Linked DNA regions of Ovis aries. The protein of the gene in region 5 purifies or fractionates together with the protein of the main gene of each other region. This does not show direct contact. Links are inferred from orthologs where the notes say so. Each region holds a gene or a part of one and is shown on either strand. Other genes may lie near its edges. The genes, in order: CSNK1D, PELI2, DACT1, NEDD4L, DVL2, VANGL1 and VANGL2.

What was found.
Region 1: the proteins of DVL2 (region 5) and CSNK1D purify together in Homo sapiens (affinity purification with mass spectrometry; 3 studies listed by BioGRID and IntAct, with this or other methods). This does not show direct contact. The link is inferred for Ovis aries from reciprocal best matches to the Homo sapiens genes DVL2 and CSNK1D.
Region 2: the proteins of DVL2 (region 5) and PELI2 purify together in Homo sapiens (affinity purification with western blotting; 3 studies listed by BioGRID, with this or other methods). This does not show direct contact. The link is inferred for Ovis aries from reciprocal best matches to the Homo sapiens genes DVL2 and PELI2.
Region 3: the proteins of DVL2 (region 5) and DACT1 purify together in Homo sapiens (affinity purification with western blotting; 3 studies listed by BioGRID and IntAct, with this or other methods). This does not show direct contact. The link is inferred for Ovis aries from reciprocal best matches to the Homo sapiens genes DVL2 and DACT1.
Region 4: the proteins of DVL2 (region 5) and NEDD4L purify together in Homo sapiens (affinity purification with mass spectrometry; 4 studies listed by BioGRID and IntAct, with this or other methods). This does not show direct contact. The link is inferred for Ovis aries from reciprocal best matches to the Homo sapiens genes DVL2 and NEDD4L.
Region 6: the proteins of DVL2 (region 5) and VANGL1 purify together in Homo sapiens (affinity purification with mass spectrometry; 4 studies listed by BioGRID and IntAct, with this or other methods). This does not show direct contact. The link is inferred for Ovis aries from reciprocal best matches to the Homo sapiens genes DVL2 and VANGL1.
Region 7: the proteins of DVL2 (region 5) and VANGL2 purify together in Homo sapiens (affinity purification with mass spectrometry; 4 studies listed by BioGRID and IntAct, with this or other methods). This does not show direct contact. The link is inferred for Ovis aries from reciprocal best matches to the Homo sapiens genes DVL2 and VANGL2.

Annotation. Positions count from the first base shown.
Region 1 is NC_056064.1:50,122,909-50,126,408, reverse strand, and holds part of CSNK1D (casein kinase I), read right to left. Parts: intron 1,825-3,500; coding exon 1,676-1,824; intron 1,406-1,675; coding exon 1,177-1,405; intron 847-1,176; coding exon 676-846; intron 213-675; coding exon 64-212; intron 1-63. UniProt on the Homo sapiens protein: Essential serine/threonine-protein kinase that regulates diverse cellular growth and survival processes including Wnt signaling, DNA repair and circadian rhythms. It can phosphorylate a large number of proteins.
Region 2 is NC_056060.1:66,604,630-66,608,711, reverse strand, and holds the start of PELI2 (E3 ubiquitin-protein ligase pellino homolog 2), read right to left. Parts: upstream 2,801-4,082; 5' UTR 2,562-2,800; coding exon 2,485-2,561; intron 1-2,484. UniProt on the Homo sapiens protein: E3 ubiquitin ligase catalyzing the covalent attachment of ubiquitin moieties onto substrate proteins. Involved in the TLR and IL-1 signaling pathways via interaction with the complex containing IRAK kinases and TRAF6.
Region 3 is NC_056060.1:68,967,577-68,971,076, reverse strand, and holds part of DACT1 (dapper homolog 1), read right to left. Parts: intron 2,014-3,500; coding exon 233-2,013; 3' UTR 1-232.
Region 4 is NC_056076.1:57,840,640-57,844,139, reverse strand, and holds part of NEDD4L (E3 ubiquitin-protein ligase NEDD4-like), read right to left. Parts: intron 2,943-3,500; coding exon 2,877-2,942; intron 1,047-2,876; coding exon 817-1,046; intron 1-816. UniProt on the Homo sapiens protein: E3 ubiquitin-protein ligase that mediates the polyubiquitination of lysine and cysteine residues on target proteins and is thereby implicated in the regulation of various signaling pathways including autophagy, innate immunity or DNA repair.
Region 5 is NC_056064.1:26,830,177-26,832,865, forward strand, and holds the end of DVL2 (segment polarity protein dishevelled homolog DVL-2), read right to left. Parts: coding exon 2,604-2,689; intron 2,488-2,603; coding exon 2,308-2,487; intron 1,885-2,307; coding exon 1,666-1,884; intron 1,524-1,665; coding exon 1,075-1,523; 3' UTR 501-1,074; downstream 1-500. Other genes in the region: ACADVL (very long-chain specific acyl-CoA dehydrogenase, mitochondrial), read left to right, coding at 1-35, 120-260.
Region 6 is NC_056054.1:93,017,166-93,020,665, forward strand, and holds part of VANGL1 (vang-like protein 1), read left to right. Parts: intron 1-60; coding exon 61-193; intron 194-1,541; coding exon 1,542-1,776; intron 1,777-3,500.
Region 7 is NC_056054.1:111,416,964-111,420,942, reverse strand, and holds the start of VANGL2 (vang-like protein 2), read right to left. Parts: upstream 2,801-3,979; 5' UTR 2,522-2,800; intron 2,236-2,521; exon of another isoform or gene 1,887-2,235; intron 1-1,886. UniProt on the Homo sapiens protein: Involved in the control of early morphogenesis and patterning of both axial midline structures and the development of neural plate. Plays a role in the regulation of planar cell polarity, particularly in the orientation of stereociliary bundles in the cochlea.

The DNA.
Region 1 (3,500 bases), about 23 Mb from region 5:
GCCTTTTGCTGACAGGCAAGCCCCTTCCATGCTGAGTGGTCAGTGAGCTGGGGGCACACTTACAAATTTGAGCATGTTCCAGTCGAACACGTAGTCATAGGAGAAACCCTGGCGATGGAACAAGTTCCTGAAGAGCTGTCTCAGGTATGAGTAGTCAGGCTTATCGTCAAAACGCAAGGAACGGCAGAAATTTAGGTACGTGGCGAATTCAGCTGTAAACACCAGAAGATTCAGAGGTAACCAGCAGTATTCCTGCCTGAGAGCCAGAATGGTGTCTGTCCACAGAACCTCTGACCACTCACGGCCACAGAGAGAGGCTGCGAATGCTGGAGCCTGAAACATCAGGCATGCTTTGGGGAAAGAGGATGAGAAAACTGAGCACCACAGAGCATAACAGCTTCATCGGAGACACTTATCCCAGGAGAAGTCTCACAAAAACAAAAGGAAAACTCCCTGAGTTATGGCTCAGGAAGGCAGAGGAGCACCAGGGACAGAGGCTGTGGCCACTCGGAGGGGAGGCCACCTGCCCAGTCTTCAGCTCCCTAACTATGCAGGGCGCTGAGGGGGCTTTGGACAGCCAGCCTCTGGGGGGCTTCCCTAGTCCTTCTTCCAGACCTCACAGGCCCCTGCCCTCCCACAGAACTACAACTGGCTGACTGTCCACCAGACACTCACAAGGGTAGCCTTTGCACAACACCTCGATGGGAGTGGACATCTTCTTTTCACTGATCCTCTCATACTTCTGCCTCTTGGTAGCAGCCTTCAGGCCCTGCCAGGGCAGTGAGCCCAGGTTGAAGTACATGAGCACGTAGCCCAGAGACTCCAGGTCATCCCTTCGAGATTGTTCTGGATAGAGAGGAGAGCAGGTCAGGGTGGTGTGCCTGAGCATGCACAGCAACACCCCACAGATGCTGCCTGGGGATAAACTCAGAGCCTCAGAGAAGGACACGTGGAGTCTTTGCTTCTGCAGAAGCAACCCTGCTGTGCCGTTAGGAGATGCACTGCCACCCATTAGGAAGCCCCAGCACATGCTGTCCCTCACGCCTCACAAGGTCTGCAGGCCCAGATGCCAGCCTTTGCTACGAAGGTTTGGTGCCAGCCTCCATACCCAATGTGCCACAACCAACCCTCAGGGGCCCCAAGAGGCTGCAGGACAGCCAGGGCGGGAGGGCTCACCGATGCCAAGGTGTGTGTTGATGGAGGCGTACCGCGCCGTCCCAGTGAGGTTCTTGTTCTCACGGTAGGGGATGTGCTGGTGGGTGCGGGCGTCCCGGTACTTCTTAGCCAGCCCGAAGTCAATGATATAGACCAGGTTGCCCTTCTTACCCAGCCCCATGAGGAAGTTGTCCGGCTTCACATCTCGGTGAATGAAGTTCTTCGAGTGTATGTATTCAATACGACTAATCTGCAGGTGGAGAAGCAGGGGTGACAGGTTGAACCCCAGGCTGCAGCCTGGCAGAAGGAACCAAGGGGAACCCTGGCCCACTTGCAAACATGCCCTGGCCTCCATGGGTCACTATCTCTTGCACAGTTAACAAGCTTCTGTTTTCTCCGTATGCACGCATGGCACAAAAAGGAAGCAAACAACCCTGAAGGCCTCATCAGACTGATCAATCAATCCAGCCCTGTGCTGAGCACGTGGGCTGCCCTTCAGTGGAGAAAAATGAAGTCTTACCATTTGGTCAGCAAGGAGTAGGACGGTTTTGAGACTGAACTTCCTAGAGCAAAAGTTGAAGAGGTCTTCCAGGCTGGGTCCCAACAGTTCCATCACCATGACGTTGTAGTCCCCCTCAGCCCCGCACCACCGGATGGTGGGGATGCCCACTGCAAGAAAGTCTGCGTCAGTCCGCCTCCCGTGCATCTGCACTGAGGATGCCCGTGCCTGTGATGCTGATGGGGGGCGGCTGGGCAGGAGCAGTGAGCAGTGACGTGGGGAGAGGCTGGAAGGCCAATTTCACAGTGGGGGTGGAGTGAGGGGCTCAGGAGGAAGAGCCTCACTGGCTCCCACAACCGGGTCCCAGTCTCCCTACGACTGACATCCTGCACCAGTATGGTAAAGCTGTCACAGCTAATGACCCAATGCCGATACACTGTCATTAACTGAAGTGTATACTACTCAGGCTTCCTCAGGTTTAACCTCATGCCCTCCGGCCGCTCTAGGACCTGTCCCAACCTCACATGACGAGTAGTCGTCATGTCTCCTTCAGCTGCTCTTGGCCAGGAGGGTCTCTCAGACTTTCCTGGTCTGAACGACCCCAATGGTTTGGAGGAGGGCTGGGCAGTGATGCACGGGCTGTCCCTCTGCTGGCCTGCCTGTTTTTCTCGTTGTTAGTCTGGGCTTGTGGGTTTGGGGAGGAAGACCACAGAGGGGAAGTGCCCTTCTCATCACGTCCCGCCAGGGCTGTGCTGTCGACATGACTCCTCACCATGGCTGTACCCCTGGTCACCTGGCTGAGGTGCGTCTGTCATATGTCTCCACTGGGGAGTTCCTCTTTCCTCCCCTGCCCATGCCATCCTCCCTGCGGAGATGTCATCACACGTGGCCCTCACTTATGAGGGCTTTTGGGCTCCCTTCCCAGAGGGCAGAGCATTTATATGTACGACTTGGAATGCTTCCACACAGATGTGTCTCTTCTCATCTACTTACTTGCTATTTTTTCCCATCAGTATGAGCCCACGAGTGTCTGTGTTACATTCTGGTCTGTACTCCAACACTGGATCACTTACTCTGTTGCTCCAAGCATCCCAGCCTTGCCTGCTTCTCAGCGAGCAGCTCCTGGGGCCCTTTAATACCCCACCACTGCAGGCTGTTTTGAGCACTGCATTCTTTTCTGGCACTGTAAGATGCTAAATACTTTTGATTTTGATATCAACAGGGCAACTTTTCTCTTTTACAAATAAATATTTTAAAAATACATTTTACACATGACATGAGAACAAACTTAACAAAGTCCATAGGTTATAAGGCATAATGTGACAAAAGCTTGTGGCCTATCATGAACACAGAAGCCCAACAGGCCCCGAGCACAAGAACCATAAAGAGCACAACACTGACATACGTGACAAACTGCTCACTAGTGACAAACAGAACACCTTGAAGGCAGCCAGAGAAAAAAGCAGAGTGGAGGAACATCTTCCAAGAACTGAGAAAAGAACTGACAATCTGCCGAAAAAAACCTCAGCAGAGACAAAAGGAAGATATTTTCAGATATACAAAGGGTGATGAATCAATCACCAGCACTGTGACATGTTAACAGGATGTCCTTCAGGCAGGAGGCAAACGATGCCACATGGAAGTGTGGGGCTACAGAAGGAATGAAGAGCACTGGAACTAACAACAGAAGTACCTTAAAAATTTTTTAAATTTAAAAAGTATGACTGTTTATGGGACTTCCTTGGTGGCACAGTGGTTAAGAACCTGCCTGCCGATGCAGGGGACACAGGTTCTATCCCTGCTCCAGGAAGGTTCCACCTGCCAAGCAGCAACTAATCCCACGCGC
Region 2 (4,082 bases), on a different chromosome or scaffold from region 5:
ATCTTCTCAGAGCCTGGTCTCAACTCACCTTTCACCTCCTCAGAGAAACCTTCCCTGCCTTCCCAGCTACAGAAGGCAAGACCTGCCTATTGCAAACGTCTCCTAAGCTAACCCATTTCTGTTGAAAATTTGGCAGTGCCCAAAACTGCCATTTATTATTCACTTGTTTACATGTTTCCTTCTGTTTATATCTGCCACTCCACACTACAATGAAATAGCTCCCTGTGCACTTCTGGATCTTCCATGCCTAAACAGTGCTGGCACATAGTAGGTGCCCACAAACTGCTGAGTGGCCTAAAATATTAATATAAGTGCTAATTCCATCATGGACTTCCCTTATAGCTCAGTTTCTAAAGAATCTGCCTGCAGTGCAGGAGACCCAGGTTTGATCCCTAGGTTGGGAAGATCGCCTGGAGAAGGAAATGGCAACCCACTCCAGTATCCTTGCCTGGAAAATCTCATGGACACAGGAGCCTGGTGGGCTGCAGTCCATGGGGTTGCAAAGAGTCCGGCACGACTGAGCAACTAACACTTAATTCCATCATACTAAGTGTCTCCTGGGAAAACATCTGTAAATAACAGAGCACATGCAACTGGCAAAGTATTTACATAGCCTGCTTTAGTATAAGCCTGATTGGAGGACAATTCAGGGTAAAAATCCTTTTCGGGGCTTTGGAATGTCCTGCACTTCCAGCTATGAACACAAACCCTCTCCAGACCCACTCACACCCTGCTTTCATGAAACATCTCAACGACTATTTCCTCAAAAGGAAATAATGAAATAAAGTCCTGGCCTAAGTTAATCTTTCGTGTCAGGTTCACAATGTTAAACATACTTTGAAGCCAGCCACACAAACAAAACCAAACTGCACAAAATTAGGCTGGGCTGAGGTTACATAATACAAGCTAAACTCTAGCTTTTTGCCTGCCAGTCCTCTCTCCTTCCACTGAATCTTGATGTTTGTCTTTTACGTTCAATTAGATGCAGGTGAGAAAAATGCTTATCTGAAACAGCTTCCAAATAGGTAAATGAGCTTTCCAATGATACTCCACCTAACACTGTAGCTACAAAGTACGCCAAACTGGACAACTTTGAGCTGGGCTGTGTCTGGAAGCTTCTCTTAAAAATTCCTCGCTTTAAAATTATCTTTAAGCCGGCACTTACTTCAAGGTATTCAGTTATCAAAACACATTTTTCAGAGTGCCCTGAGTTCTTCCATACCCATGACTCTTCACACGTGTACTAAGCCTACCTTTCAGCACCCCTAATGTTCAGAACACAAGTCTTTCAAGAGAGGAGGACAAAAGCGCGGGTTTCCGAGAGTGACAGATCCAAAGGGAAAAATAATCCTTTCTCTTTTCTCCTTCAAGGCTAAACCCAAGTTGCTCCTTTTCCCGAATTTACCGCACTTCCCCACCCCATTCCGCTCCCCTTTCACTGCCCACTTTATCCTGCTTTAATCCCAGCGAAGCCTCTCTCCAGGCTTATTAAGGGTAAACAATAGAAATGTCACAAGGAAACTCAGGAAGTAGATGAAGTCTCTAATTGCTGCCGTTTAAAGATTGTAGATAATTACTATCTTCAGAATGTGGTTTTCACAAGCCGAGAGGGAGCAGAGGCAAGCGAGGATGGCGAGCTCCCCGCCGCTGGGAGGACATCTGCGAGGCCAAATCCCAGGACCGAGGGACAGAGAGGATGCAGCCCCGCGCGCCCCGGAGCCCGGGCGGGTGCAGCGGCTTTCCTGCCGGCTCCACGACACTCCCGGCGGAGAGAGCCGAGGGCCGGCCCGGCCGCCCGGGTCGCAGACAGTTCACTGCCCTGGGGCTGCGGCTGCTGCGGCGGTCACCATAACAATATGCAAGGCGCTGCCCGCGGACGCCCCTCGCTCGGATCCCACTGCCCGCAGCGCAGAGCCGCCGGTGCCGCGCCTGGAGTTCCGGGCCCGGGGCTCACAATAAGAGGGAGCAGAGGGACCCTGGGGGCCTCTCAGTTTCGCCAAGGTGGAGGGGTAGTCCTCGGACACCGCGAGGTGCCCACGACGGCTGTGCTTCAACCCTGGTCCCTATCCCCGACACCCGGCCAGGGGCACGCGGGGAAGTCGAGCCTCTGCCCCCGCGGTAATGCCAAGGACTTAGCCCCCGAACGCTACGCCCCGCGGGGCTCCGAGGTCGCCCCAGTCCCCGCCGCTGCCTTCGCCCCGGGCTGACCGCGCTCCGCCACTTCCCTCGCCACCGTCCTCGGCGCGGATAGCGCATCCCTGTGCCCGCAGCGACCCGCGCGCGCGGATCGGGGCATCCCACCCCCACTCCCGCGGTCCCAGCCCTCCGAGACGCTCTACCGGCCCAAGCGCCCTACCGATGGCCAGAGAACCCCCAAACCACCCCGATGGCCCTGCTCCGGGATGTGGGTGCGCGGCGGCCACCCAACCCGGAGCGCTTGCTGCCCGCCCCCAAGCTCCCCTGGTCGGGGATCCCCGGACTCACCCCAGTACCACCAGCTCCCCGTATTTCACGGGCTCCTTATTGGGGGCGCAGTGCTCCTCCTGGCTGGGGGAAAACATGGAGCCCTGCTCGGCCGCCGCCGCCGCCGCCGCCTCCGCCGCGATCCCCGCCGAGTCCGCGCCGCCGCTACAATCCCATCCCGAGAAGGGAGTGAGTGCGCCGGGGAAGGGCACGGCGGCGAAGGGGGCGCGGGGCGGCCAGTCCCGCGGCTGCTCCGTCGTGGCTGCGTGGCTGCCCTGCCGGGCTCTCTAAGAGCTCCGCGCGCCGCGGCTGCCCCGAGCTGGACTCGGCAACAAATGGGACTGGGCAGCAGGGAGACCCACCGCGCGAAGCGCCGCAGCCGCCGCCGCCGCCGAAGCCCCGCGGGAGGGAGGAAAGGAGGGAGCGAGCGAGCCCGGGAGGGGCGGGGGCAGCGGGCGGGGGAGGGGCGGGGGCCGGCCGCAGAGGCGCCCCGCCCGCGCGCGGGCAGGTGGGAGCCGCCCCGCCCTCCGCGAGACGCCCGCAGCCCTCCGCCCACCCGGCGCCCCCTCCCCCGGCGCGTGGGGCGGCCCGGGTCCACTCCCCGCCCCCCTCGGGCCCAGCGGCGGCTCGCCCCCGTGTTATGTAAACATAGAGTAAAAGGGAAAGGAAGTTCTTAAAGGAGCAGCTCTATTTTTTTTTCCTCTCTCGCTTCCTTCCCCAAACTTAACGGCGCGGGCACCTCAGCCCTGGTCGCCGAGTTCTCCAGCGGCGGAAGGCTGCGCAGGGTCCCCGGAAGCACGGCGGTTTAGGTTCCCAAGCCTAACTTAGTTTCCTCGGGTTAACTAGCTGTAAATAAAGAACCTGCTCTCCGGATATGGGAGCATTAGCTTTCCCGGTGTCACCGTGTCGCGGCACACTTTCGGAGGTGTTCCACACGCGCACCAGGAGCCTCCTCTTCCGAAACCCAGTCCTTTAAAGCTTGAAGAAGTCTAGAAATTTGGAGGGCTTTGCCAGTTGGCACTGAATTAGAGGGAGTTTTGAAGGCGCTTGGAGCACCCCTCCATTGTGCAGGATGTAACATCCCGGTCTGTCGTCAGCAGACTTCCACGTGGTTCAAAAAAAAGTTGTGTGTGTGATTTTAATCCATACGCTCTCCCCTTTCCCATACCTTCTCTCAATCCCCTAAGCAATTTAAAAGAAAATTATCTGAGTAAACTTTTTAGTGAATATAAAGTTTCCTTTATTATCCTAATTTAGCCAACACATTATGTTTGCTTTTTTATGCGTTTCTAAATAGTTACTAGGCTTTGAAATATTTTAGAGTATAATAGATTTACTGACTGCTGTTTCTCATCATGCAGTATTTTGTTTTACCACTTATTAAGCACTCATACTGGGCACTGCATGTTATTGTCAGTCACTGCCTCTCAAGATTGTTAAATATTTAAATACATATTGCAAACCCTATGTATAAACACTGGCTGGTTGGCTATCACCCTAAGTAAAGGACTAGGGAAAAAAAATTTCATCACAATTGCGATAACCTTTCATTGTGCTGTTCAGTAGCCTTTGTCTAACATTCTCTGATAGGTTATTGCTACAGTGACATGATCTGCAGG
Region 3 (3,500 bases), on a different chromosome or scaffold from region 5:
TCACTGTCACCACCATTAGAAACGCAATATTCACTTCTAACCAGCAAAAAGAACATTCTTTACCTTCCATTAAAGGCACTAGTGTCCATACATGACGAAGATGAGACAAAAATTCACCTCGGTTTTCTCTTAACCAAAGGAAAGCACTCCGGGAAATTATTACACACGAAAAAGGAAGACACCACCGACTGGTGGGGAGCTAGAAAGCCCCACTCTACACGGAGGATGTGCCTCAGACGGTCGTCATCAGTTTCAAAGAGCCAGACCGAAAGCGGAGGATCTTCTTCTTGAGGTTGTGTGAGGCCTTAATCTTGACGAAGGTTTTGGTGGGGTTGTGGCGAAGGTCGGGGGCCGGGACCGGCTGCAGGGGGAGCGTCTGCACGAACTGGGACCAAATCAAGCCCCCGCTCTCCTCCGAGTCGCTGGTGCTCGTGCTGTCGCCCACGAAGTCGCCCTCGCTCACGCTGGACTCGCTGTCGCCGAAGCAGTTGGTGGTGTAGTTGCTGCGCTCGTCCTCGCTGGTGTCCAGCACGGTGGAGTGGAACAGGGACTCGCACTCGGCCGAGTACTCGGAGTCGCTGGCCGCGTACGCGTAGGGGCTGGCGTAAGGCCCGGCCGCGAACAGCCCCGCGGGCTCCCGCCGGCCCCGCCGCGCGCGCCGCAGCGCCTCCTCGTACGACACCTCGGCGGCCGACCTCCACCGCCGCGGGTCGGTGCGCTTGTGCTTGGGCTTGGCCACCACCGCCTCCCGGCCGTGGCCGTGGCCGTGCGCCCGGCTCCCTGCGCGGTGGCCCGCCCCCAGCGGCCGGCTGGGGAGCCCCGCGTCCGGCTGGCCGCCCCCGCCCCGCCGCGCCTTGGCCGGGGCTCGCCGCAGTTTCTTATTTGTATCCGTGTCGTCGGGGAACCGACACTTCTTGCTGGCCGCCCGGGCCTTCTCCCTCACGGCGGGCAGAGCACTTTCCGGCCCGTGGACAGCCGGCGCCCGGTGCTTCACAGCGGAGCCCCTCGGGGCGGCTGCGGGGCGCGCACCCCGGGGCGGCCTGACCCCCGGAGGCGGCGCCAGGACGGCCGGCGCCTTCCCCAGGGGCCCTTCCTCCAGGCTCTGAGAAGAGGAGCCCTCGCTTCTGAAATCCAGGGCCGGCCGCTCTTCCGCCGGGAAAGTTGGGGGCAGCAGGGCTGAGGCGGCGGGAGGGGGCGCCAGAGTGCCTGCCTGCGGGCTGTGTTTCTGTGGCACCTTTTTCAGTGGCTGGACCACTTTGTTCTCTTGCAGCGGTGCGAGGACCCTCCCAGGGCTCTCTTTCGGAGAGGCAGCTGGGATCTGCCCGCTCTCCTTAGAGGACTCCCCTGTCCCAGCGGGGGGACACCTCGCATGTTCCTGGGAGACAGGCTTGGCGGTTTTGGGCAGATGCTTACCTTGAAGTTCGGTAGCAGTGCCTGGAGAACAGCCTTCAGGCGCGGGCAACCTCTTGCTTTCCAGAGGTTCTGGCTTTGATTCTTTTGACCACTGTTTTGGTGGGGAGAAGGCCCCATTGTCCAAAGAAGGGATGCCTCCGGAGGGCAAAGGCACCTGTTTCGAATTCTTAAGGTTCCCACTGTTGCCCTGTGAGACACCCCCAGTCACTCTGACACAAACACTCCCATTCCTCAGAAGCCCCTTCGTGGGGTCAGCGTTCACACTGGTCCTCGGTTTGTTGGTCCTTACTGGGTGGGTTTTTTTCTGGACTAGGCTCAGAATGTAACCATCCATCTTCTTGCTGGATGAAGGATGGGGAGCAGACCACAAACTGCTTGGAGATGGTAAGTTAGTGTCTGTCTTGACGGTGTCCAGCTCAGATCCCGCACAAACGTCGCTGGCATGGTTACCAAGCCGCTCCTCTTCCCTCAGGGGGTTGCCAGTCAGGCAAAGGAGGAACATTGGGCTCTGCACAGCCACGGCATGAAGTGGACTCGGGTAGCGATACACATCATTCCCATTTTTAGACACCAGATCGCACTGGTACTTGGGATTCACATCTGCAATGACAGCAAGGAAATTAGATTGTGGTGTGGAGAGGGAACAGTCAACTGACCTTGAGGCCTGGTCTTCACAATGGCCTTCTTTATATTCTAGCTATCCTATGAGATCTGAAAAACATTTAAAGGTACACTCTGAAGAAATGAACTGGTCAGCACCAGCTTGATCAGGCCAGTTTCTATGAAGACAAATTCAGGGGTAGTGAGAGAATAACAAAGAATCAACAAATACAAGACAAGCTACTCTACTATTTCACATACAGTTCATACTACTAGACGAGGAAAAAAAAATCAACAAAGGACTTTTTAACAAGATATAACTGAATGAAAAATATTCAGGCATTAAAAATGCTTTCAAACTATTGAATAATATATGGGAAACACTTTAAAGTGGAGTGAAAATCATAATTTTATAATTTTACTAAGACTGGATATAGTCAAAGAAAAAAGTCTGAAATGAAGCATGCAAAGATGCTAATAGTAGCATCTCAAAGTGGTAGGAAAAGTAATGGTACTTTCTTCTTTTTCTATTTTCTAACTTTTCAATAAAAGTATGCTGGAGAAGGAAATGGCAACCCACTCCAGTACTCTTGCCTGGAAAATTCCATGGTCTGAGGAGCCTGGTAGGCTACAGTCCATGGGGTCACAAGGAGTCAGACATGACTGAGCAACTTCACTTTCAAATATGTACTGCCTTTATAACTGGAAAAATAAACGTTTTTTGAGCCATTCTTTCTCTGGGCCACTTTCCCTTCTGTGTTCTGTTCCTGGTTTCCCTTTAAGTACTTGAGATAAACTATACTTTCATGGGCTTTCTCCTCATTTTGAATATTTTTTTAGACCTAATTCTTAATGACATGTGTTTGAATATAACTGTCAATTAAAAGGTCAGGGAAACTAATTTCAATCAAGATTAAATTTAAATAATAATCACCTTATGTTTTTAATAGTGATACTAAAAAATAAAGCACAATATTTTATAAAGGAATTTTTGATGAGGCTTTAAGATTGAGGAGTAGTACTAATGAATAAAATTTCCACATCTCAAAAACATAGATGCCAAAATACAATGAAATCAAGCTTCCTTGCTTAATTAGATTATTCTGATCTCTTATCCTGGTATATATTATAAATATCAAATCCTCTGAGTGAATTTTAGTTACAGAAGATCAAAGTTTTTGTCCCTATTTAATTTGCTTTCCATTATAATTATCTTTATTCACTCATATACTGAAAACCTACTATGTGCTAAATTCTATGTTAATTGTTTAAAGGAAAGCCCTGTGAATTTCAATGATTATTAGCAGTCTCGGTGGCAGGTCAGTCTAGACCCAGAAATGATACTCAATTTGTAAACAAAATTTTATTATAAAATAAATGTGTCATGTCCCCAATTCCACTTCCACTCCCAATAAACAGTTTGTTGTAAGAAGGGGAAATCTCTCTAGCTAATATCTGTGCTCATTCTTCCTCACTACCCCAAGGCC
Region 4 (3,500 bases), on a different chromosome or scaffold from region 5:
AACCTAATGCAAGGGGAAGGCAGGGCCTCGCCGCTCAGGCTCAGGACAGTCCTCTGGATCCTAAAGGACGGAGCCTCAATTTCCCTTTAAGTAGTATAATGTCAGAAACTATTCCTGTTCATGAGACAATGACCTTCTGAATTCTGACAGTGACAAATTCCCCTGAATTAACATAACAAATGCAAAGTGCTTTTCCTTAACGATAAGTACCCAACACATTTTCAATTTCAGTTACATGAACCCAACAGACAAGGGAAGAATTATTTTTAGGTGTTCACAGTGTACTTTATTTCACCGTGTGGAGTCAGATTCTGTTCTAGATGTCCAGGGAGGAGGATGGGAGGGGCTGAGGTCAGCAGTGTTAATTCACCTCAAACGAGCGAGCGGCTTACTCTCATTGTGCTTTGTTGCTCAGTTATATCTGACTCTTCACAACCCCATGAACGGTAGCCCACCACGCTCCTCTGTTCATGAGGATTCTCCAGGCAAGAATACTGGAGTGGGTTGCCATGCCCTCCTGCAAGGGATCTTCCCAACCCAGGGACTGAACCCAGGTCTCCCGCATTGCAGGCAGATTCTTTACTGTCTGAGCCACCAGGGAAACCCCAAAATACTGGAGTGGGTAGCCTATTCCATCTCCAGGGGATTTTCCTGACCCAGGAATCAAACCAGGTTCTCCTGCACTGCAGGCGGATCCTTTACCAGCTGAGCTACCAGGGAAGCCCACTCTCTCATCATCTCACCTCTCTCATTTGCTCATGAGGAATAAACCTGTCTCAGTGGGGGACACATTCTGAATGCACTCCAGATACTTACGTCGCCGAGTACTCGAAGAGGCCGTAGTAAGGGTTGAACATCTCCTTGGACAGTAGGAAGAACCACTCTCTGGCCACGCCCCCGTAGTCCAGACCTTTCTCTGATTCAAACTCAATCCACAGCCTAGCTTTCAGGACATCTGGTCTTTTCACAGACATGATTCTCCTATAGGATTCTTCAAATATGTTATTTCTGTGAAGTTTCATTTCAAACCTATTTGGAATATCCGCCTAAAGAAAAAACAAAAAACAAAAAAAAACGACACACGGTCAGAGAGTAAATATACACCTGACTTCCTAACAGAAAACAACAAAGAGCAGAATGATGGCAGCCTTCGAATAAACAATCAGTGTGGAATGGCTCCAGCTGGGGCTCTGCCCTTTCTAGATTTTTCTTCACAGACAGAAAGCCTTGCTACGTCAGGAGGAGACACACAGCACCCACGAGCAGCTGTCATCCACTGAGTCAGCAACACGTGCTGCGGAAGAAACTACGCTGAGTAGAGACAAATCATCCTGGCCTGCTTTTATGAGCAACCGAGGGGCCCTTATCCACCCGCTGACAAGTGAAACACGGTCAGCTCTCTATATTGTTTCAGTCAAAGAAAGGGACTTCAGTCCAGACGATTAACCCCATAGACAGTCCCCACCCAGCCAGGCTGGGACACCTCTGAGCCCTGGCGGGGCTCCGGCTGCAGGCGTGGGTCCATGACACTCAGAAGCTAATCCTATTGCCAGGGCGGGGGTGGGCAGACTCTGATGATCAGGCCAAAGGCCACAGCTGTTTAACGATAAATGTGAAAATTAAAAGGCACTTGACTGAAGTTGTGAATAACTGCTTCCTGGCGAAACAGGCCCAGGGTCGGCTCTGTTATGACGATGGATTTGCAGAGTCAGTTTCCAGGCAGAAGGCACCGTAGAGTATAAGTGCTACAGAGTGAGACGGGTGGGACCCTCAGAGTCATCACTTATACTCAGAAGAAACGCAGGCGACTCACAAAGAAACACGGGAGTTCACAGGTTCAAATCTCAGTCATCCTGAAATGGAGTTACCCAGGAGCTCCTTGATTCGGGGTGATGGACAAGAGAACAAAACCCTTAGTGGGAGCTCCCCGAGGCGGAGGCTGGCTTCCAGGCATCTCTGCATCCCCAGTGTCTCACCCACAACAGAGGTGGGGAGAAGGCATAACTGAGAGAGTGGAGTGGGCTGGGGGAGGCGGGCAGGAAGCACAGGCAGACGGGGAGATCTGAGCTGTGGGAGACACACGCCTTTTCCCAGTGAGCGGAAGCCAGTCAACAGTGACCTGTGCGAAAACACCCCAGAAAGGGTGAAGGCACAAACTGAGGAGAAGACTGGGAAAACCCTCACCAGACAGGCGAGACCAAAGTGAGACAGAAGACGCAGCGTTAAAGGATCTGGGCAGATGTGTCGGTAGAAAATATAATACTGTAATTTAAAACACTGCCTGCAAAAAGCCTTACAAGATATCTTGGTTTTGCCAGAATCTTAATGGGTTTCCCAGTGAGAATTTTTACTCTGAAAATGACATTTGGTCTTAATATGCCAGAATATTATAAATTATATTTATGTTGTACATATTGGAATTTAAAGGGACAGACTTGAACGTTTTTATAATTAGGACCAAGGTTTTATTAATTAGGGTAACCGTAAGCAACTGCACAGGCTTCTCCAAATTTTTTCACTTGGTCCTGAATTATTATATATCTCATAAAATCATTTCTATCTTTTTATGTATTACATAAGAAATTACCTTCAGGTGACTTAATATGTTTTGAGTTGGCCAAAATATTTTTCTGAAAGATGATACAGAAACACCCAAAGGAACTTTTTGGCCAACCCAATAATACTAAGTTAATATTCACTTACCATTTCTGTTAAAAAGAAAATTCACATCAGAGATCCAGGTGGATTAAAGTGCAGTGAAAAAAGGAAAGTAGCATTTTTGGTACAGATATAAAAGTAAGAAACAAGTTCTCACTGAAGTAATTTTGGTAACTTACAAATGACTAAGGCAACATTTTTGGAAGACATGTACTCACAGGTTTCTTTAATTTCTTTCTAAAGTAGTCATATTTCTGCTTAAATTCTCTGGAGTAAGGAACAGCCTGGAAGATAAATGTATAAATATAGACAATATGAACAATACAGTTGAAATTTTATGTACATGAAGCCAACATTCAGAAAATTTCATGAATCATGAACCTTAAAATTGTCACTCTTCATATAATCATTGAAATTTACATAATGTCTACACACCATATGGGAAGTTCTAGAAATGATTAAGATTATTCAGTACTGAATGAGGCTTTCATCCCTGAAAACAATACGGATGTTCAAGAAATCACTTAGAGATATTATCAGTTCAGTTCACTCAGTCATGTCTGACTCTTTGCGACCCCATGAATCACAGCACGCCAGGCCTCCCTGTCCATCATCAACTCCCAGAGTTCACTCAAACTCATGTCCATCGAGTCGGTGATGTCATCCAGCCATCTCATCCTCTGTCGTCCCCTTCTCCTCCTGCCCCAAATCCCTCCAAGCATCAGGGTCTTTTCCAATGAGTCAACTCTTTGCATGAGGTGGCCAAAGTACTGGAGTTTCAGCTTTAGTATCATTCCTTCCAAAGAAAACCCAGGACTGATTTCCTTTAGGATGGACTGGTT
Region 5 (2,689 bases):
ATGAGAAAATGCTCTGTGACAGCTGGTGTATCGAGGTGAGATCCAGAGTTACTAAGTACAGGGGGCTGGAGGGGATCAAGGGACAGGTCTGAACCCCCTCCTTCCCCCTCCCTCCCCAGGCTGCGGCCCGGATCCGAGAGAACATGGCTGCTCTGCAGTCTGACCCCCAGCAGCAGGAGCTCTTCCGTAACTTCAAAAGCATCTCCAAGGCCCTGGTGGAGCGGGGCGGCGTGGTCACCAGCAATCCCCTTGGTTTCTGAGTACTCTCAATTACAGCCTGGCCCAAAATGTGCCTTTTCTCAAGCCAAAGCCCAGACCCCTTTCCTGCCCATCCTGGTTCTACCTTGAACGGGGCCCCAGCCCATGACTGTGCCTGCTCTCAGAGGGAGCACTTACTGCCTCACGAATAAAGTTTCCAACAAGTCACACTCTGCAACTGTATCTCTGTCCTTTCCCTTGCTGCCTGCCTCCCTCCCAAAGAAAGGAGCCAGAGGCGCAGGGAGTTTGCCCCTATTGCTTTATTTAGTGTTTATACAGGTGACTAAAATAAATAGAGTAACAAAAGCAGCTACACGGCCCCCAATACCAACTACCCCAGCTTCCTTTGACGGCTGTCTAGGGGAACCAACCCCCTTCCACGTCCCAGGGTACCAATGACTACCCTCCCACCCTGCTCAGGACAGAGCTGACTGGGCGAATGGATAAGGAGGTCACATTTAGGGGTTAGAAGGAGGGGGCCCAGGAGACAAGGATTCTTCATATAAAAGAAAAATTATCTACTAAAAAAATAGTCCCCAAAATGTAAGAAAATCTATTTTAACCCCCCAAAAGGCTTATAAAAAACAATAAAGCTAAAAATAACCAAGGTCCCTTGTTGAACCCCAAAGAAAAGGGGAGGAACCAGGCACTGCTGGAAAGTCACAGTGGCAACAACCTCACAGCAGACAGCAGCCCACATGACAGGCTGAGTCCAAGCACCAGAGGAGTGATGAGCACATGATTGACAAGACATCCAATCACAGGACAGGAGCACCAAACACTGACAGCCGATCCAACGTGGCCCCACCATGGGCTCTACATGACATCCACAAAGAACTCACTGGGATTGCCCATGGCCATGTGGAAGCTTTGGCGGCTGGCGGTCAACTCTGGGGGCACAGAGCCCAGGTCTCGGACTGGAGGGGCCCCTGGAGGCTGCACTGCTGGAGGGACAGGGGGTGGGGGTGGCGGCATCATGACCACCATCATGGGGTTATAAGGGAGGGCCATACCAGGAGGTGGGCCATAGGGATGCAGCCCTGGGTGGGCTCGGAGATTAGGAGCACCCCCTGATGAGCCCCTGGATGGGGGAGGGCCCCCGTCACCAGTCCCACCAGCTTCCCCACCCCGCCGAAGGCTGCCACCCCGGCTGGAAGGCTCAGACTCACTGCCACTGCCGGACTTGGACTCAGGGGCCCGATCCTCAGGCCTCCCCGTGCGCCCCGCCCCCCCATCACTTCGTGTCGACCCACTGCTCCGGCTCCCTGTGGGGAAAGGGGATAGGAGCAACTGAGCCACAGACCAGGTTCTTCGGCCTCCCCAGTCCCTGCTCCAGCCTCTGCTCCTTGGCTTTGCCTTGGCCCCCACATCCAGACCCAGCTATGTGGGGATTTGTCGGCAACTTACCCTCACTGTGCTGGCTGCTGGCACTGCCTCCACCGTAGGTGTAGGACGAGAGCTCATGGTAGGGTGGGGGCTGAGGACTGTATGGGTGTGGGGCTGGGTACTGGTATGAGAAAGTGGGCAGTAGGGGCCAGGGGGTGGCTCCAGGCAGAGGAGCCAAAGTATCCTGGTCTGAAGCGCCACTGGAGCCATCGTTGTCATTAAGAGACAGGTTGACTAGGTCTGGAAGGCAGAGAAGAGATCAAGGATCATTGCGCTGAGAAGCCAGGATGCCAAGACATCGAATGAGGAACCGGGAACGGCTTCCCCACAACCATCTGTGGCAGGGGTTAATGGGAGGGCCTCTGATAAGGAATGTCCCACCCGCCACAGCCGTCAGGGCAGGAACGTGGCCAGAGCCACCCTTAGTCCCACGTCTCCCCTCCCCAGCAGACACAACCCTGAACCTGCGCACAGCTCATCCAGCACAACAGAGGTGTATGTCAACCCCACGCCCATCATCAGCCAGTTCAGGGGCCAGTGAAGGACGCTTGCTGCTCAGCGTGCACAGCAGCCCCGGTTGGGTTTCTGGGCTAGGCCTCGAGCTGGAGACGCAGGACAAGGCCACCAGGGCCACTCTAGCTGGGCCAGGACAGGGGCACTCACAGCTCTCACAGCCACCACTGAGGTCTCCAAACACGTAATAGCACTGCTCAGAGAAGGTGATCTTGTTCACAGTGTGCCGGATGAGGCCCGCCTTGAGGAGCCCACTGGCGTACTTCCGGGCCTCACGCCGCTCAGGAAAGCCCTCCACGTGATGGTACAGCCAGTCCACCACATCCGAGCCTGGATTGCGGAAGACAGAGAAAGGCCTCAAGTTCTTCTCTCTAGCTTTCACCCCCTTTCCCAGTTTTGGCCCCCTCCTCTTCCTCCCCCACCACTTGCCCAGAGCCCAGCCACACCCAGGAAGGCGTTAGGGATGGTGATCTTGAGCCACATGCGGTCCCGAACTTCCAGTCCCGATTCTGGAGCGGCCATGGCCTTGGTC
Region 6 (3,500 bases), on a different chromosome or scaffold from region 5:
TGCTGTTTCTCACCCCAAGGCATTAAAACCGTCCTTCCTCCACTGTCCTTTCCCCCAAAGGCCCCAGTAACAACGCCACTGGTCAGTCCCGGGCCATGATCGCCGCAGCTGCTCGGCGCAGGGACTCAAGTCACAACGAGTTGTATTATGAGGAGGCAGAACACGAGCGGCGGGTGAAGAAGCGGAGAGCAAGGTACGCTGCCCAGCCCCCACACCAACACCCCGACCAGGCTTTCTTTTTGAATGTACACCGACTCTTTTTTTAAAATTTATTTTACTGAAATGTAGTTGATTTGCAATGTCATGTTAATTTCTACTGTATAGCAAAGTGATTGTTATACATACATATACATTCTTTTTCGTGTTTTTCCTGTTATGGTTTATCACGAGATTTTGAATATAGCTTCCTGTGCCAGTCAATGGGACCTTGTTGTTTATACATCCTACATATAATGTGCATGCGTGTTAAGACGCTCCAGTCGTGTCTGACTCTGCGACCCTATGGACTTTTGCCCGCCAGGCTCCTCTGTCCATGGGATTCTCCAGGCCAGAATACTGGAGCGGGCTGCCATCCCCTCTTCCAGGGCATCTTCCCAAACCAAGGGATCAAACTGGGTCTCCTGCCTTGAGGCGGATTCTTTATCTTCTGAACCAACAGGGAAGTCCTCCTATATAATAGTTTGCATCTAATCTCAAACTCCCCATCTGTCCCTCATCTACCTCCCTCCTTCCCTCCCTTTTCGCAATCAAAAGTCTGTTCTCTTAAGACATTTTTTTTTTTAACCAGAATGAAATTTCAGTTTATAAACACAACCCCCTAGCATGCAAAAGCATCACCAGGAGGACTTGTTAAAACACAGGTCTCAGGTTCCGGCCCCACCCGCAAAGGTTACTTACTTTCCAGTAGGTCTAGAGTGGGGCCCACCCAAGAATTTACGTTTCTTAAAAATTCCCAACTGATGATGAAGCTGCTGGCCTTCAGCCCACACTTTGACTGGCCCGCCCTCTATCCCCAGGCCCTTGCTGGTTTTCCAGAGCTGATCACTTTAGCTGAAGTGGACAAAGATGGTTTTCATCATACATGCTGCCTTCCTTCTTTGTTCCCTGGGGCTGCTGGTGTGGGCGGCCGGATGGAGAGGATGCAGCTCTGGTTCTCCATAAAGCTGCCTCTGTACCATGAGCCACCCCTCAGTGCATGCAGAGTCTTTTGTAGCCACAGTTTGAAGAGCCTTAAAACTCTTTGCATGTCACCCTTCGTTGTAGTGAGTCTCCCAAGCAAATAAGTGGCAGAATTGAGATTAGGAGTCATCTCCGCAGTCCCATCCTTCTTCCTCCTCACCCGGGAGCCCCCATTCCGTGTATTACTTTTGCCTTTGTCTTCCTTTGCCCTTCCCTCACCTCCCTATTGTCTGGGGTGACACCTGAGGATGGGAGCCTTGGGCCAGCTGGCGGCCAACTAGGAGTCCTCCTCCCACGTCCTGTGTGACTCTGTTCTCAAGCCCTGCACTGCTGTCCTGAGTACCATGTTTCATCACCCCCAGGCTGGTGGTCGCAGTGGAGGAGGCCTTCATCCACATCCAGCGTCTCCAGGCTGAGGAGCAGCAGAAAGCCCCCGGGGAGGTGATGGACCCCAGGGAGGCTGCCCAAGCCATCTTCCCGTCCATGGCCCGGGCTCTGCAGAAGTACCTGCGCACCACTCGGCAGCAGAACTACCACAGCATGGAGAGCATTCTGCAGCACCTGGCCTTCTGCATCACCCACAGCATGACCCCGAAGGTGCGTCTTGGCGCCGAGCTTGCAAGTCCCATTTTAGGGTGTTGTCAGGAACGATAAAGGTTTCTCTAAAGCTCCCACTGATAAGGATTAATGTTTCTTGCTTATTTTATGTTATTTTGGTGCAGTTGTTTTTTTTTTCCCCCTTTTAAAAAAATTTATTAATTTTTTAGTTGAAGGATAATTGCTTTACAGAATTGTGTTGGTTTCTGCCAAACATCAGCATGAATCAGTCGTAGGTATACATATGTCCCCTCCCTATTAAACCTCCCTCCCCATCCCACCCCTCTAGGTAGTTACAGAGTCCCTGTTTGAGTTCCCTGAGTCATAGAGCAAATTCCCATTGGCTGTCTATTTTACATCTGGTAATGTATGTTTTCATGTCTCCATACATCCCACCCTCCTTCCCGGGTACAGTTGTTTTTTTAATGTGCCTTTGAATTAAAGGCTTCAGGATTCAAGCAGAGGAAAGACTTTCACTTAAAGACAGCCCAGGTAGTAATTCAGGGTACTCTGTATATCCTGGGCCTGAGCTGATTTGTTCTAACCTGGCACCTCCATCAACTAGTGGGGAACCTTGGGCCAAGAGCTTAATGGCTCTGTGCCTCAGTTTCCTAGTCTGTAAGTTGGAGATAATACTAATGTCTACCTCATGGGGTTGTTGTGAGAACTAAAAGAGTTCATTCCTGTGTAGTGCTTAAAACAGCATCTGTCATAATATAAGGACCAAATAAATAGCCATTATCATCAGGGGTGGAAACCATGCTCTGACTTGTTTGGCGTTTTGGCTGTTGGGAGGTTAGTTTTACTAAGTGATCTTCTGGGCCATTATGACATGAGCACGCTTTAGGGGATGATGCAAAAACAGCCTCGTGTCTAATAGACGGCTGTGGCCAAGGAGGCAGAATAAAGTGTTCAGCCAGTGACCTCTTCAGACGGAAGTGGATTCAGATCCTGACTCCACCACCTAATCGGTTTGTGACTTTGCCTAAGTTACTCTACACTTGTTCCCTCTTTTATAAAATGGAGATAATAATAGTATCTACCTGATCGGATCATTGCATGAGAATCATATTAAATATGGCAACACGACATGTGAGTTGTGGTAGAGAGTAAATGAGCTTGGCATATGGTTTGCATGTAACACTGGTAGTGATATTATTGGTATAAAGGCCTGTATTCATACGTTGCCCTGTACGTATAAACTGCTGGCTGCACTGTCACCCTTATCAAACCCTAGGAAACCAATATGGAGATATTCAGTAAGACGCCATAACATTTTCCATATTCTTTGGTTCACTAATCCCCCTCCTAGAAAAAGGACTTAGCACAGTCAGCGATACACACTAATGTATATGTGGATTATTTTGCAAGATAATCTTTATTAGCTCCAAACTGGAAATAACTTAACAACAGAACAGTGGCTTACACGTTATGGTATATCTTAAAATGTGGAAGAATCTGTTAGAATATTAAGTTACAAAAAGCAGACTGCAAAAATGTGTGAACACGGTGGTTGCAAGTGAATACAGCATGTCTGCCTATGCAGAGGGATGGCTCATACCACGTGGAATGGAAGTGGTTATTTCCCTTTTCCCCCAAGCTTTTTAAGTTTACTGGCTGCTTTCTTTCTCACTTAAAAAAAAAGTATATATACTTTTCCAAATTAAAACTAATAATCTTTATATAAAAATCCAAACGTTAAAGAGAAGTATAATGTACGAAGT
Region 7 (3,979 bases), on a different chromosome or scaffold from region 5:
GTCTTGAAGAAGCAGAAGGAGCCAAGGGGGCATACCAGAGAGGTCAGCCCCCAAAAGAATTAGAGGGAGAGAGGAAGGAGCAAGACAGTGGGGGCGAAGGGGCCAACTTGACCACTAGTTCCAATCTGAAGTACTTTCAAAGGCGGCCTTTCCTAAGGTCTGACCACAAGTCCTCCTCCTTGGAAGAGCTCCTCACCCCCCAAACACACCAGTATAATATATCATGCATTCAGTCAGAGGACAGACACAAACAAGGTACCCCAGAGCACACCATCCTAGATTCAAGTGCCTCACTCACCCCTGGGAACCTTACCCAACGGATAGGTGTCAGGTTTGGGGCAACCACGCATTTTTTTAATCCAGTCTTTTCCTTCTCTGCCCCACTTCTAGTCCCAACATTTTCCAACTCTTACTGCTCTTACCACTTAAGAAAGGTGGGGAGCCCTGGGGGCTAAAATGCAAGCATTCCAATTGCACATGGCCCTCAAGGACTCCCATTAGGGAATTACCCAGAGACCCTGACAGGCCTGTGCCTTCACAGTCGCAGCTTCTAAAGCTGGATGCCTCGACCAGTTCCTCTGGCAGCAAGAGGAAAATGACTGAGAGTGAGATGTGCAAACAAGATGCATGCCCGCCCTTCCCCTTCATCCCAAAAGAGAAATAATAACAGAGAGAAAACAGCCCTCAATGGGCGCTTGCCTCGACATAGGGACAGCCACCCTCCTGCCAAGTTGAGCCCCCTATCCATCACCCTCAGACCTGGCCCCAGATCGCATCTCCACCCCAATCATGCTTCTCACCAGGAAAAAGGGGGAAACTGTGAGATAAATCTGTACAAACTCCTGAGAAAACATCCCCCTCTGCTCTCCCCAGAGCTCCCATGCCACCTTCTGAACCCCGTGCAACAGAGAACCAAAGATGTCCGGACCAGGTCTCATCCCTCCGGACATGCTTCTTCCCCCGCCTCTATCCCATACCAGAATCCCCAGACTCCTCAGGAACTGTAGGATCCCAGAGGCAGGGCAGTGAGTGGGCTCTGAAGCAGCAAACTCCAAGGCGGCTTTACAAGACAAGTGGGGCCTGAGGGGGCTGAACATAGGCTGAGAAGCCAAGAATGTGGCCTCTCCAAGTACAAGAACCCAATCTATAAGGTGGAATAAGAGGATATCCCTCTGATTCTTTTCCCTGACTTCTCCAATCCCCCAGACTCCCCTTGGACTACAACCCAAATCCTTATTCCATATTCCCCACCACGCACACAACCTTTATCTAGAAAAGCCCATTTCCCAAAACAGGTACCTCAGGGGTCTCAAATACTTAAGGCACTACCCTCAAAACCGGGGCAGGGCATCCAAGAAGCCTCAGAACCCCTCTTGGCAGGTACAGCCCTCCCTTTGGGCTCCCTGCCAAGAAAATCCGCCTGCAGAGGCAAGTGGCAGTACCCCCAACACACACTCAGAAATACACACACCGCCTAAGGCAGGCACACGGTGGCACTTATCTATCAACACAGGTTGTACACAAGAGAACACAGATTCACTCACATCTCTTTCTAGTACACAGGTGTACACACACCTACCCAGGTACACCCTATTCTGCTCTTACACACCCACTTTCCTCAGAACCTTTCCCATAAACCCCTCCCCAGTTCACACACAGAGACACACACCCCTTCCCCAGAATATACCCATAAATACATATCCAAACACACCACACATGGATGATCAGCTGCTCCTTGCGTGCACACACACTCGGGCACAGAAAAACACCTTCATCTCCAAATCTAGGGGCCCACCTGCAGGGACACGCAGCATGTCAAGGCGCACACATACACAAAAACAAAAGAATCACGCACACTGATGCTTCACCAAGCCTCTAAAACTCACCAATGCAGAGCCCACAGCCCCTTAGACGAGTAGAGACAAGTGGAGAGAAGGATGCCGGCGCCTGTCCTCTGGGCCCCTGGATACAGTGCCGGGGTCTCCAGCCTCCAGTCCCATCCTCCAGCCGCACACACGCCTCCTCCACTCCCCTCGGGCGGCTGCCGGGACTCCACCTCACGCCCTGAACGCATACCTGCCCGGGGTCCTCCCCACACTCCTGAGGTGTGTATGCACCCCTAAACATCCTCGCCTTCCAGTACCTCCAGACTGCGATCCTTTCACTGCCTCTGCCTCCACCTCCAACACACACACTCCCGAGTCTCCAGCTCCAACCGGCTCCCCTGGGAACGCTGAGGCCCCCGCCCCGGCCCCGGGCCCAGGAAAGTCCCCGGCTCTCCAGGCCCGGGCTCCGCCCCCTCCCCAAGCGCCCCTTCCTCTCCCCAAAGTTGGGGGGCACTCCGCTGTGCAGTGGGGGGATGGACCGGAAGGGGGCTACCCCACGCCCCCTTTCCCCATAAGCCACCCCGCTCGCTCCGGGGCTGGGCACCCCTGGCCCCTTGCATGATTGTCCCTCTTTCTGTTTCTTTTTTTTTTTTTTTTTTCAAACTTTGCTCGCGCCCCCGCGGCCCGGCACTCACCCGCCGCTGCGAACTGCCGGGTGGGCTCGGCCGGCGCCCGGCTCGGCCCGGCGCCTTTGTATCCGCAGCGTTCGGGTCGCTCCGAACTCCGCGCTCGTAGATGGGCAGCGCGGACGCTGGGGGGTGTAGAGGGGGGCTCCTGAGTCCGGTCGCCCCCTTTCCGTCCCAGACCGCTGTCTCTTCCCCCTCAGGGCCCCGGGGGCAGGGGGCCAGAGGGGAGTGGGGGCGCTCAAGCTCCCATGGCGGGACCAAGGATCAAGGAATCAGGGATCAGGAATCAGATCGGGAGCCCGCGGAGGAGGGGGAGGGGGCCGAGGGGGAGGGGACGGGAGCCGAGGGGGTGCAGGGGGCGGGGGAGCGCGCGCTCCCGGGTGCCGCCTCCCGGCTGTTCCCGCAGCCGCCGGCCCGCCCGCCGCCGCGTCCATTGTCTGCGGCCCCGCTCTTCCCCGAGTCGCCGCCTCCCCCCCAGCCCTTCGCATCCAGATGCCCGGCGGCCCCCCAGGATCCTGGGAATCGGCAGCGGGGCTGTGACCCCGGCCCGGGACGGTGGTCTGGGAGATGCCTCGATTCCTGGGCTGGGCCCAGCCCGCAGCCCCTCCTGGGGCTGTTTCCCTCTACCCGCCTGCGGGAGACCGAGCCCCCAGACCCTCGGGGATGGCGATGTTCAATTCTTAGGGCCACAGACCCGGCTACACGAAATCCAGTGGAATCTGGGACGTGGAAAGATTGAGTTTTACCCCCCGAGGGCTGCGAGAAGAGAAAGTCATCCTTGATTTTAATTACTGGCGAGAAACGCTCCCTTCTTGCCATTCATACGGGAGTTTTTCTGACAGTCACCACCATATCCCCCCCGCTTCCCAAAATAATTTAATTACTTGGTGTTCTAGCTGCGAGCGGCGACCGCCCAGTCAGTCTGGGATGCTCTCTCATTAACACTTTTTTCCTCCCCTCTGGTTTGAGCGTTGGGATTAATTACAAAGGGAACCCTGCCCTGGGGGAGTGGGGGAGGGGGGGACGACGAGGGCGCCCGGGAGTTTGGATGGCGGGGGAGAGAGGCCCCTCTCCCAGGAAACCTCCAAGTGTAAAAATGCGTTGGCCTGTCGGGTCCCTAACCCCAAACAGGCAAGGCTCTCGTCCCCAGGGGTTTCACATATTCTGGAATTCATAGCACTACACAAGGCTTGTAGGGTATCACCAGTATCCGACATAATCAGGCATTCCTGCCTTAGCGTACACCAAGAAACCAGTTAGGTTCATGAAGTTGGGTCATAAAAGCTTTGAACCCAAAGAGATTGACCCCCATTATGAAAGTCTGGGTTTGTGAGAAGTCTATGTAGCCCTTGGAGTGAGTGAAAGCAAAAATATTATTACAATATCATTAGTATTGTGTGCAATTCTCCACTTACTTAGAATAGTAATACTTCAAAAGCACCTTTGCACACTTCTCCTCCAGCAGGG